Linked DNA regions of Rattus norvegicus. The protein of the gene in region 2 interacts with the protein of the main gene of each other region in a pairwise test. Links are inferred from orthologs where the notes say so. Each region holds a gene or a part of one and is shown on either strand. Other genes may lie near its edges.

Region 1 (3,650 bases), on a different chromosome or scaffold from region 2:
AGAGAGAGAGAGACACGGTGCTGTCGTGCTCACACATGCTGAGTGGCTTACGCTGTACTCCTTTCCTGCCTGACACTCCAGTGCGTCCTCAGTCACTGTTCTGTCTGTCTGTCTGTTCACAGAAACACAGTGGCCAGCACTACAGAATTCCGAGAAGGTGATCAGAGACTTTTCTTCTGTGGGAGTAAAAACATCTTTTAAGAATTTCAGGTTTAGATACCTTTGTAATGGTATCTATTGCCTCAAAGTAAGATCAAGCTAAAAGTAAATCTTTCACATTTTTTACACCTGAAATATATCATTAAGATGCCAATGTTTTAATGTAAAAGTAGAAAATACAGTAAAAAAATTCAGTGTCACTTATTTGTCTCTGATACAAGATCAGTGAGTATTAAACAGAAACAATATAGTAAAAAAATAAAATTTATACATTTGCCTAAAGTGAGTTCTCTGTTTGAGGCAGGATAAAAGGCTCAATAATAGCTGTGGTCGACTCACTTCCAAAACTAAAGGGACGACTGTCTACTTCGACTCTCGAGTAAGCAAGTGATTTATACAGTTCACTTCCCATGTAACCACCATCTTGTTTACATGGCCTTGCAGTCCTTTTTAGAATCAATAGTAATATACTTGGCATATATCTTGAGCCATGAATTGTACATTAACATCATATAATACAATACATAGGTAATAGAAAGGAGTCCCAAATACTTTTTTCAGTTGTTAGAAGACAAACAAAACAAAAAAACAAACAACGTGAGCTCCACTTCCTGAAATTTCAGTTGAGGTAACCTCTGCACGTCTCAGCTCCACATTTGCATTGGGTTCTGACCCTTTTTCTGGCAGGGCTGTAGTCAATAGAGTCTGAAGACAGTTCTCCAGAACCTGAAAACACAGGAGAGCAACATCTGAGAACAGGGCTGGAAGATGGCTCAGCAGGAAGAGGAGCCTTGGTCTTTTAGAGGGCCAAAATTCATACCCAGCATTCCTGTCAGGCACCTCACAACTGCCTGAAACCCCAGCTTCTGGTCTCCATGGTACCCACATTCACATGGACACACATACATCTTTACCTTAAAGAGATACTTTAGTTGGGCATGATAGCACACACCTTTAATCGCAGCACTTGGGAGGCAGAGGCAGGTGGATCTCCCAATGTGAGGCCAGCCTGGTCTACACAGTGAGTCCCAGGACAGCCAGGGCTGCGTAGTGAATGCTTATTCCCAAGGAAATGAATAGTCCTGCACTTCTGTGACTATCCTGAGACACTTCAGTCTAGCCATCTTGAAAGATGGTGTGAACTAGTAAGAATGGCTGCCATGATGCCATCTACTGACAAAGTCCAATGCACAAGCACTCTTACACATCACCCAGAGCACAGCAAGGAGACATAGTAACGGCAGGAAACGCACACTGTTCATAGAAGATATTCACAGTCACAATACAGCCAACAGAATTAAGCACTGTAAAAAGCCAGATTCAAGAAGGCATAGAATTCATATGTGACTGAAATCATACTTCTAATCCTGTCATATCTTTTAGTAAAAGTTCAGAAACTGTCTATACTTTTGTTAGTGTTATGATAGGTCAAGCTTCCAAACTAGAAGTCTTGAGAAAAGTCAGGCTGCTAGGACTTGGAAGAAAGACCAAGTGCTAGCTTTAGTCTGTGGGATGGGCTCTGGGCCTTAAGCAAGATGACCCAAGCTTCCTTCCACAAGTTCTTTCAGTTTTAAAAAGATCTTTAACTGAGTACGGAATAGTGTGGTTCATCATCTCCACACTGATCCCCTCCCAGTGATTTCCTTCTTCTTCAGTGTTAGTTTGGTCTGTTATCCAAAGACTTGCCTGCATTGTCGTACTAAAGCCCACACCAGTACGATTATTCTTAAAAACCATACCTTTCATTTGATAGTCAAAAGTCAGCTCTTCTCCAGCCTTTATGGTTCTTGTGGAGAACAATGCTATCCTGGGAAGCCGAGTATCAAGGTTATCGATGAAAACACTAAACACCTGAAGATTTGGGTCACACTAAAAAAGAAAAATAAAACCTGTTCAAGTAAAACCGCCAGAGAGGTACCTTCTATGTTCCCTATACAATTGCTAACTGCCCACATGACCATTTTAAGTTGTCCTACAAACTGCACACACACTCAAAATACAGTGTTCATATATAAGAAGATGTTAATCATCCATACAAGAAGTCAGATATCCAATATGTTGCTTCCACAATTAATGAGATTTTGTCTCAGCTTTTTTTTTCCCCTGGAGAATCTTAATCCAATTTCCATTTATAACACGGGCATTTCGCTTTTAACTATTTTAATAAGGTGTGTGTGTGTGTGTGTGTACACATACATACTTTAAATAATTAGAGTAATTTTTGGTTTTGGAGATGGTTTCTCTGTGTACCCCTTGTGCTACCCTGGAACTCATTCTGTTGAGACCAGGCTGGTCTCAAACTCAGAGAGACACCTGCCTCTGCCTCTCAAGTGCTGGGATTAAGGGCAGGCCACGGCCACCATGGCCGCCACCACCACCACCACCACCACCACCACCACCACCACCACCTCCACCACCTGGCTAGAGTAATCATTTTAGAGTAAAACCAGCAGCCCGGAACTCAGGTTTGAGACTGTATGACTTCAGTACTTGAACTCTTACTGGGAGTTGTTCAGCAACACTAAACTACGAACATTCCAGAAGCTCTAAGGAGTCGTGTCAGCTAGGGTGGTGTCTGCCGAGCAGCAGAGCTGGCCTTCTACATTTCAAGGGTCCCACATCTGGACTCAACCAATTACAGAGTCAACTAACTATCAAGTATTCATTGAAAAGAAAATCACCCCAGAGTCCTGACCATGTACAGACTGAGTATTCGTGTCCTTATTCGTAAACAATGCAGTATAACTTTCTATCAGGCATTAGAAGTAATCTACAGATGATTTAAACTGTAAAGAGGATATGTGGGCTATTATGTCTCAAATTTAACATAAGGAACTTGTAAGAATGTTGATCTCTGCAGGAGGCCCTGGAACTAATCCCCTGGAATACAAAAGAATGGCTAAATCTCAAATTTGTCATTAAGAAGAAATTATTTAAAAGAACCAAAGAGGGAGTCCTAACGGTCTCTCCATTTCACTGTGATTCACACACAGCTTGGAAGCGATCTACCAGACAGTTTAACTTGGCTCCATCTACTCCAATCGGCTCTGGGACCTACCCTCTAAGCTATATTCCATCATCTGTCATGCGGTATAAAATGATGATGCTAACAACCTCCTGGCCTTACTGTACTTAAATGATGAAACTATGCGGTATGAAATTGGAGTTCCACTGTGCCAATTTCATTTTGACAATTACTCTAATTACACACACTCTACACACACACACGATCTTTAAAAAGACTGCAGATCTAAGTTTTTCAAACGGAAATAACCATAAATGCTTGAATGATCTAGAAATCTTCAATTTTACTTTAAAATGTTAACATAATGACATTAAAAACAAAATCAAACGAACAAAAAACCCTGTTACCTTTAAGCTGTATCTATGGGAGGATTGTCCAAGATCCTCAGTAGATGCCTGAAACTGCCCAGAGTACCAAACCCCATATATTCTAGGGTTTTGCTCTATGCATATATACTTATAGTAAT
Region 2 (3,601 bases):
GGAAGTATGCATATTTTTATAAAAAAAACAGTTGTGTCTAACCCACATTTGGCTGTGTTTGTTTCCTCAAAAAAAAAATTTGCAGCTGTTAGAGCTCTTCTTCATTTGTCTCTTAAATTAAAGGCCTTGTTGGAGAGGACAGCACAGAAACAGCCTTGACTGTAATTATTGTACAGATATTTTAATAGCATAAAGTAAGTATATTCCTTTTATTTTGAAACAAAATGGTCAGACACTGCCTTTCATGTGTTTGTTGCCTGTGGCACTCTTTTTAAAAAAGACTGTTACATATTAAATAGTGTACATATATATAAATATTACCTCTTTGTGTACAGTTGTGATAGACCAGACCGAAAATTTTATTTTTTGTGTGCTTTTTATAAAAAAAATTAATACACTAAAGAGAATCTTGCGGATGTGATTGTAATGTACCCATGTAACTTATTTACTTTTGAATGTTCTGTATCTTAAGACCTTTTATTAAATAAGGTTTTAAAAAAGTCATTGTTGAATGCCATGTTCTTATAGGGGTGTTTTTGCCAGCTGGGACTGACTGATAGGGAACTTCTCCCTTTCTGAGCCTTAAGCGGTCTGTTTTGCTATCCTGTATACTCAGTAAGGACAAGAAGTTTGCTTGGCTACAAAGAGAAGTAATCCGGTGGGGGGGAGGGTGTGCACACACACACAAACTTTAGGTTTTGACACACACACACACACACACACACACACACACACACACACACACAAATTTTGGACAAGAAAGCCAAGTCAGACACTCAAAGGAACCAGTAGGTGGAATCCTCTTTTCTAGTCTTATGGGGAGGAACGGAGAAGCTGCAGACTGTAATCTGGTGGTTCACGGAAGTCAGATTTAGTGTTTTCACAGCAGAGTGAATGCATAGAATGGATATGAGACAAGTCCGTCGTGGTAGATGCGTATCAATAAGGCCAACTTAAATCCACAGCAAAATTAAATAAAACAAAACATGCTTAGCAATATTGTTAAGGAGGAATCTGGGAAGTACGAGTATGGGGGAGGGGTAAAAAGAAATGCACCATCATAGAATAGACTACTCAAACCCCTTCTTGGCACCATAGCAACCGCCAGATCCTCTGGAGCCCGCGCATCTCGCGTCGTCATGGACACAGTTGTCACGGTGACACTGGGGGAGGCGAGCGGACCGGTTCCGCCCTCCAGTGCAGCTGCACGGAGGCCGTTGCTGGAGCGCGCGGCCATAAGCGCTGAGCAGAGCTGCCTCCAGCCCGGTTCCTCCCTCCTTCGCGCTTCCTGCCGCCTCAGTCCCCGGTGCTTCGAGTGCCGCCTCTCTCGGTGTAGCTGAGCCACGGCCTCGAGTAACCCTCGGCCGCCCGCGGGCCAGGGAGAGGTGGGAGGAGCTGCCACGCCCCGCGACCGCACCCAGTCATCTCCAGCCCGCAGCCAACCGCCTTGAGCCCACCTTCCTCCCCTTCTCAAAGCAGTGACGCAAGGCACAGCCGCAGCCAGTCCACTCCTGCCCGGACCAAAAGGGCGACATTCGAGTGATAGGCGGAGTGTCCCGTGGCACTGACTTGGGACCCGGAAGGGACCAGAAGGAACTCTGGTGTCTTTTGGTAATTGTGGTTGCTTGAAGCTTGTCGCCCCCTGGCCTACCGGGGGAGGAGAGCATGTTGTCCTAAGCCCAACAGCAGCACCGTGAGCCAGTCCAAGCACAGTCTGTAGAACTGGCACTCTTAATAGTTGGGCGAAATGGCTATGACACTATTGGAAGACTGGTGCAGGGGAATGGATGTGAACTCTCAGAGAGCTCTGTTGGTCTGGGGGATCCCTGTGAACTGTGATGAGACCGAAATCGAAGAGACCCTCCAAGCTGCGATGCCCCAGGTATCCTATCGAGTACTGGGGAGAATGTTCTGGAGGGAAGAAAATGCGAAAGCAGCCTTGTTAGAGCTCACTGGGACGGTGGATTACTCCCTGATCCCCAGGGAGATGCCAGGCAAAGGAGGGCTCTGGAAAGTAGTGTTTAAGCCCCCCACTTCCGACGCGGAGTTTTTGGAAAGGCTGCACCTCTTTCTAGCTAGGGAAGGGTGGACGGTGCAAGATGTTGCTCGTGTGCTTGGGTTTCAGAACCCTGCTCCAGCCCCAGGCCCGGAAATGCCAGCAGAGATGCTCAACTATATTTTGGATAATGTTATTCAACCTCTTGTTGAGTCCATATGGTATAAGAAGCTGACTTTGTTCTCCGGGAGGGACATTCCCGGGCCTGGCGAGGAGACCTTTGATTCCTGGCTGGAGCACTCGAATGAAGTCATAGAGGAATGGCAGGTGTCTGATATAGAAAAGAGACGGCGGTTGATGGAGAGTTTGCGAGGCCCGGCTGCCGATGTCATTCGCATCCTCAAGACCAACAACCCTGCTATAACCACGGCAGAATGCCTGAAGGCTCTTGAGCAGGTGTTTGGGAGCGTGGAGAGCTCTAGAGATGCACAGGTCAGATTTCTGAACACTTACCAAAACCCAGGAGAAAAGTTATCTTCTTACGTTATCCGTCTGGAGCCTCTGCTGCAAAAGGTAGTGGACAAGGGGGCCATTGATAAAGATAACGTGAACCAGGCTCGCCTGGAACAGGTCATCGCTGGGGCCAACCACAGCGGGGCCCTCCGAAGGCAGTTGTGGCTGACTGGGGCTACAGAAGGGCCTGCACCCAACCTCTTCCAGTTACTGGTGCAGATTCGAGAGGAGGAAGCCAAAGAGGAGGAGGAGGAGGCCGAGGCTGCCCTTTTGCAGCTAGGCCTAGAGGGGCACTTCTGAATCCCAGGACTGGCCAGGCTGCTTTTGATATTCCTGTGAAGTTTTAGTAAGCCTGTCCCTTAAAGTAAACAGCCAGCCTCCTCCTGCCTTTGTTTTGTTTTCTGAGGAATGGGATGAGAAAGTCAGGCCCGCATATTCCTGTAGCATTCACAGAATTGTGTAATTAGCAGGAGTAAAGGCGGTTCATAGTGCTACAGTGATGCCAGCCCTCCTGGTGACATCTCTGACAGCTGTGAGAAACATGAAGCTGCGATCCTTCCTGTCACGATGTTTGTGAAACTGCAAGTTCTGATGCTAAGTACATGCCCGGTTCACAGGCTGTACACTACAAACTCTTGTATTTATTTGTTACTAACACTGTGGACAGCTTTACTGTAAATTGTTGCTAATTTGTATCCATGGAAAGAATGCGACTTTTAGATATTACTCATCTTGAAAATGCAGATTTCTAATTCCTCGTGGCTCAACACTGGAATCAGTTTCCCTGAAAAGTATCCCCAGATTAGAAGTGGCGGGTTAGAAAGATGTGTTTTTATAGAGTGCACAATAAATCCTTCACAGTGGAAGATACAGATGTAAGTCATAGGGGGAATGGCCCTGGACAAGCTACACTTCCTCACTTCAAATATTTGTCATTATTGGTCATATTGATGCTAAGGGTTCTAAGTTTGAAGTTATTGAATAGATGGATACAAAAAAAATTTGAAAATTCTCTTTTTTCCTGACATGCATACAATTTTTCAGCATAATTTAGCTTCACATACTTTTTTCTCCTGACAAGGACTTTTGCTC
Region 3 (3,650 bases), on a different chromosome or scaffold from region 2:
CATCTCCAAGACCCATAAAATAAAGAGAGAACCAACTCACTAACAGTTGTCCTCTGACTATAATGTGCACCATGGCATGTGCCCCTTTGCACACACAAATAAACTATATTAATGCAATTTTCAAAAAATCTTTTAAAGATTTAAAAAAATCTAGAAATAGCTCAAAATAAAGTCCACATCTCCCCCACTGGGCTTCTCCATTACAAAGAAAAGCAACAGGAATGAGTCAGTCCGAAGTCTCCTTCACAGTGTCCCACACCTGCACCTCCTAGAACACAAGAATCCCCCACTGTGCCCCACGCTCCCCTCCAAAGGCAGAGACACACAGCAGAGAAATCGGGGGACCACAGCCAGGAGGCCTCGCTGCCAGCCGCCCCTCACAGCCCCAGCTTCCCTGACCACGCCTGACCAGTGAACTTCACTGCAGGTGAAGACCATGCTGAACACGTGTAAAGCCTTGCATTTACTTCCCAGCATAAAAAGGGGAAAGGAAAACTGAATTTCCTTAAGTTGACTTATTTTACATGTATGAATGTTTTGCCTGCAGTTATGTTATATGCACCATCTGTGTGCCTGGTACCCACTAGTTGGAAGGGCATTGGATGCCACGGAGTTATGGAGGTTGTGAGCCATCATGTGGATGCTGGAAACCAAAGCCAGGTCCTCTGTAAGAGCAGCAAGTACTCCTAACCACTGAGCCCTCTGTCCAGCTCCCAAGGCTGATGCGTTTTGTTTTATTTTGTTTTGTTTCTGATGTTTGTTTATAGCCCTGGCTGTCCTACTCTGTAGACCAGTCTGGCCTTGGACTCGGAGCTCTGCCTGCCTCTGCTTCCCCAGCACTGGGAATAGAGGTGTGAGGCACCATCAGGCTAAGCAGTCTTTCTTAAAGGTAGAAAACTGATGGGTAACCAACCCTTCAACTGACTGCTATTAGACGCCAACATCTAGAACATTCTCTGTGTAATGTCCTCATTAGGACAGGAGTGGACAGCAATACACAACAGTGACTGAAGAAAAATACCCTAGGTGCTAGAACAGAAAAGGTGACGAGATTCGTCTGCCCTAAAGCTATGACTCGGACCAGGTTCAGAGTCTCCTGCTGGTGTACAGCATATGGCGAAGCGTGCTGGGCACTGACCGTCCATCTCTACGAGGAGCTGGTTGAGGGTCTGCTCCTCTTCTGTGTTGGAGAACCCGGACATGGAGGTGGAGCGCTTCTTCCCCACAGCATCGATCTCATCAATGTACACAATGCAAGGGGCCCTGGCCCGGGCTTCCTTGAAGAGGCTGCGCACTCGGGCGGCTCCCAGGCCTGAGGAAACAGAGTCAAAAGACAGGTAAAGGAAAGCAACTCCTACTTTTGGGTCAGAGTCCTCCAAAGTGGCCTATGTCTAAGTGGCTGGTTCTGCAGATGGACCAGAAGCAGTCAGCATCTTGCCATCCTGGCCTCCCAAGCCGCAGGGGAAAGTGGAAGTTTCCAAGTTGATGTGGACCAAAGCTTACTGTGGTTTAAGGTAGGTTTCTCTGCGTAGCCCTGGCTGTCCCGGGACTCACTGTGTAGACCAGGCTGACCTTGAACTTAGAGATCGGCTTGCTTCTGTCTCCCAAGTGCTGGGTTAAAGGTGTGCACCACCACCTCCTTGGACCAAAGCTTATCTACTTTCACTTGGGCTGTCTGTCCTTCTCTGTAGCACTCAGCTTCTCATGTCAGGGAGGTTATGTGGAAAGCCAACCCAGGCACCGAGCCAATGAACCTGCCCACACTTTCAGCCCACACCTACCTCCAATGACCTCCACAAACTCTGGGCCAGCCATTGCTAAAAAGGGCACCTGAGCCTCCGTGGCCACTGCCTTGGCCAACAGCGTCTTCCCACAACCAGGGGGTCCCAGCAGCAGGGCACCCTTTGGAACCTTGGCACCCAGCTGAAGGAAACGCTCCGGGCTCTAGGCAGGAACAGACATAGGACTAAGTAGTCGGCATTTAACAGAGACTTTAAGTGACTCACACAGAGGAGCCTGTGACAGTCATGAACGTAGATCACAGCTGCAGTGCGTCCACAAAACAGTAAAGAGCTTCGTGCGGCCCTGGCTCCAAAAGAAAGGACGGCCCAGTTGAAGTGGGCCAGTCCACTCCTCTCTTCTGAAGGACGACTTAGGCTGGCACTGTTAGTTTACCAGCAGACACACACGGTGCCCGAGGTGAGAGAGTCACCCACTCATTCCATCTCACCCAGAGAACTCCCATCTCAAAGCCAAGTGTCTGCTCACCACAGCCCTCCTTGAAGACACGTCACCACCCCTCACGTCACCACCCCTCGCACCTCGCACTGGCTGAGCACACAAGCCTCACCTTCAGATAATCCACAAACTCTCGGACTTCCAGCTTGGCTTCGTGCATTCCCGCCACATCCTGGAAGCTGACTCCTTTCCCCGTCTTCCCGTCCACGATGGTGAAGCGCGCCATTTTAAGCTGATTCTGTGCAGAGAGTCAGGGATGAAGCTCTGCTCCCTGGAGAAACGGAACCAGCCACGGCTGCTGCCTGCCTGACCCGACACAAACTGCTACATCCATCCTAGGTGGGCCTGCTCCTCTTACAGCCGAAAAGCCTGCTCCCGCGGTTACGATGCAGACCACAGACCACCTCAGGCACACACGGGAACTCTGGTTTGTATTGTTTATATTAAGAGCAAAGTCAGGTAGCAATTTATCTTTTAGAAAATTAGAGCTGGGGAGAGGGTTCAGTGGTTAAGGGCACTTGGAATTCTTACAGAAGGCTAGGTCAATTACTAGCACCGACACAGTTTTACAAGTTTGTCTTCCAGATGAGTTCTAGGAGAGTGGACACTCTCTTCTGGCCTCTGTGGGCACTGCACACATGGGGTGCCCATACATGCAGGCAAACGCTCATGCACATAAGCTAAACTTTAAAAAGATAAATGAATAAAAATTAAACTCTCTTTGGGCATGGTAGTTCATGCCTTTAATCCTAGCACTTAGGGTAGAAGCAAGGAGACTTCTGTAAGTTCCATATCAGCCTGGTCCACACAGAGTTACAGGCCAACCAGGGCTGCATAATGAGATCCTGTCTTAAAAAAGAAAAAAGGAAAGGATAAAAGAAAAATACAAAAGTAAGAAAGAAGGAAACAAACATAAAGCTCTCCTCGGTAAGGAGTACAGCCCAGTGGTGGAGCACGCACTGAGCATAAACAAGACTCCAGGGCTAATACCAACACCACCCAAGAAGAAAACACATTCTTTAGCTAAGACAGAAACATGCTCACACTCTGTGAAAACCAAGCGTCACTCTCAGGGTAGAAAAGGAGCTTCCAATACCGCCAGCCCAAGCCTGAGGGATGGAGAAGCCATGGGTGAAAAGTACACTTTCTAAGGTGCAGCGGGAGAAGGGAAGAGAAGGGAGGAGAGAGGAGGAGAAGGTAAAAGGGAAGAGAAGGGAAGAAAAGGGAAGAGAAGGGAGGAGAGGGGAGGAGAAGGGATAAGGGAAGAGAAGGGAAGAGAAGGGAAGAGAAGGGAGGAGAAGGGAGGAGAAGGGATAAGGGAAGAGAAGGGAAGAGAAGGAGGAAGGAGTTTCTCTATGAAATGGCCATTCTTTAAGCTACTTTTAATGTTTCTTTTGTTGGCTAATAAGAGA

What was found. The genes of interacting proteins can lie anywhere in the genome.
Region 1: the proteins of Pnma1 (region 2) and Suv39h2 interact in binary tests that used the Homo sapiens proteins (3 or more experiments, as listed by UniProt). The two-hybrid records come from large-scale screens. The link is inferred for Rattus norvegicus from reciprocal best matches to the Homo sapiens genes PNMA1 and SUV39H2.
Region 3: the proteins of Pnma1 (region 2) and Spg7 interact in binary tests that used the Homo sapiens proteins (3 or more experiments, as listed by UniProt). The two-hybrid records come from large-scale screens. The link is inferred for Rattus norvegicus from reciprocal best matches to the Homo sapiens genes PNMA1 and SPG7.

What each region holds. Positions count from the first base shown.
Region 1 is NC_086035.1:79,678,954-79,682,603, reverse strand, and holds part of Suv39h2 (histone-lysine N-methyltransferase SUV39H2), read right to left. Parts: intron 2,029-3,650; coding exon 1,899-2,028; intron 886-1,898; coding exon 779-885; 3' UTR 1-778. UniProt on the Homo sapiens protein: Histone methyltransferase that specifically trimethylates 'Lys-9' of histone H3 using monomethylated H3 'Lys-9' as substrate.
Region 2 is NC_086024.1:109,512,820-109,516,420, reverse strand, and holds Pnma1 (paraneoplastic antigen Ma1 homolog), read left to right. Parts: upstream 1-1,253; 5' UTR 1,254-1,747; coding exon 1,748-2,809; 3' UTR 2,810-3,039; downstream 3,040-3,601.
Region 3 is NC_086037.1:68,039,106-68,042,755, reverse strand, and holds part of Spg7 (paraplegin), read right to left. Parts: intron 2,477-3,650; coding exon 2,351-2,476; intron 1,945-2,350; coding exon 1,782-1,944; intron 1,313-1,781; coding exon 1,139-1,312; intron 1-1,138. UniProt on the Homo sapiens protein: Catalytic component of the m-AAA protease, a protease that plays a key role in proteostasis of inner mitochondrial membrane proteins, and which is essential for axonal and neuron development.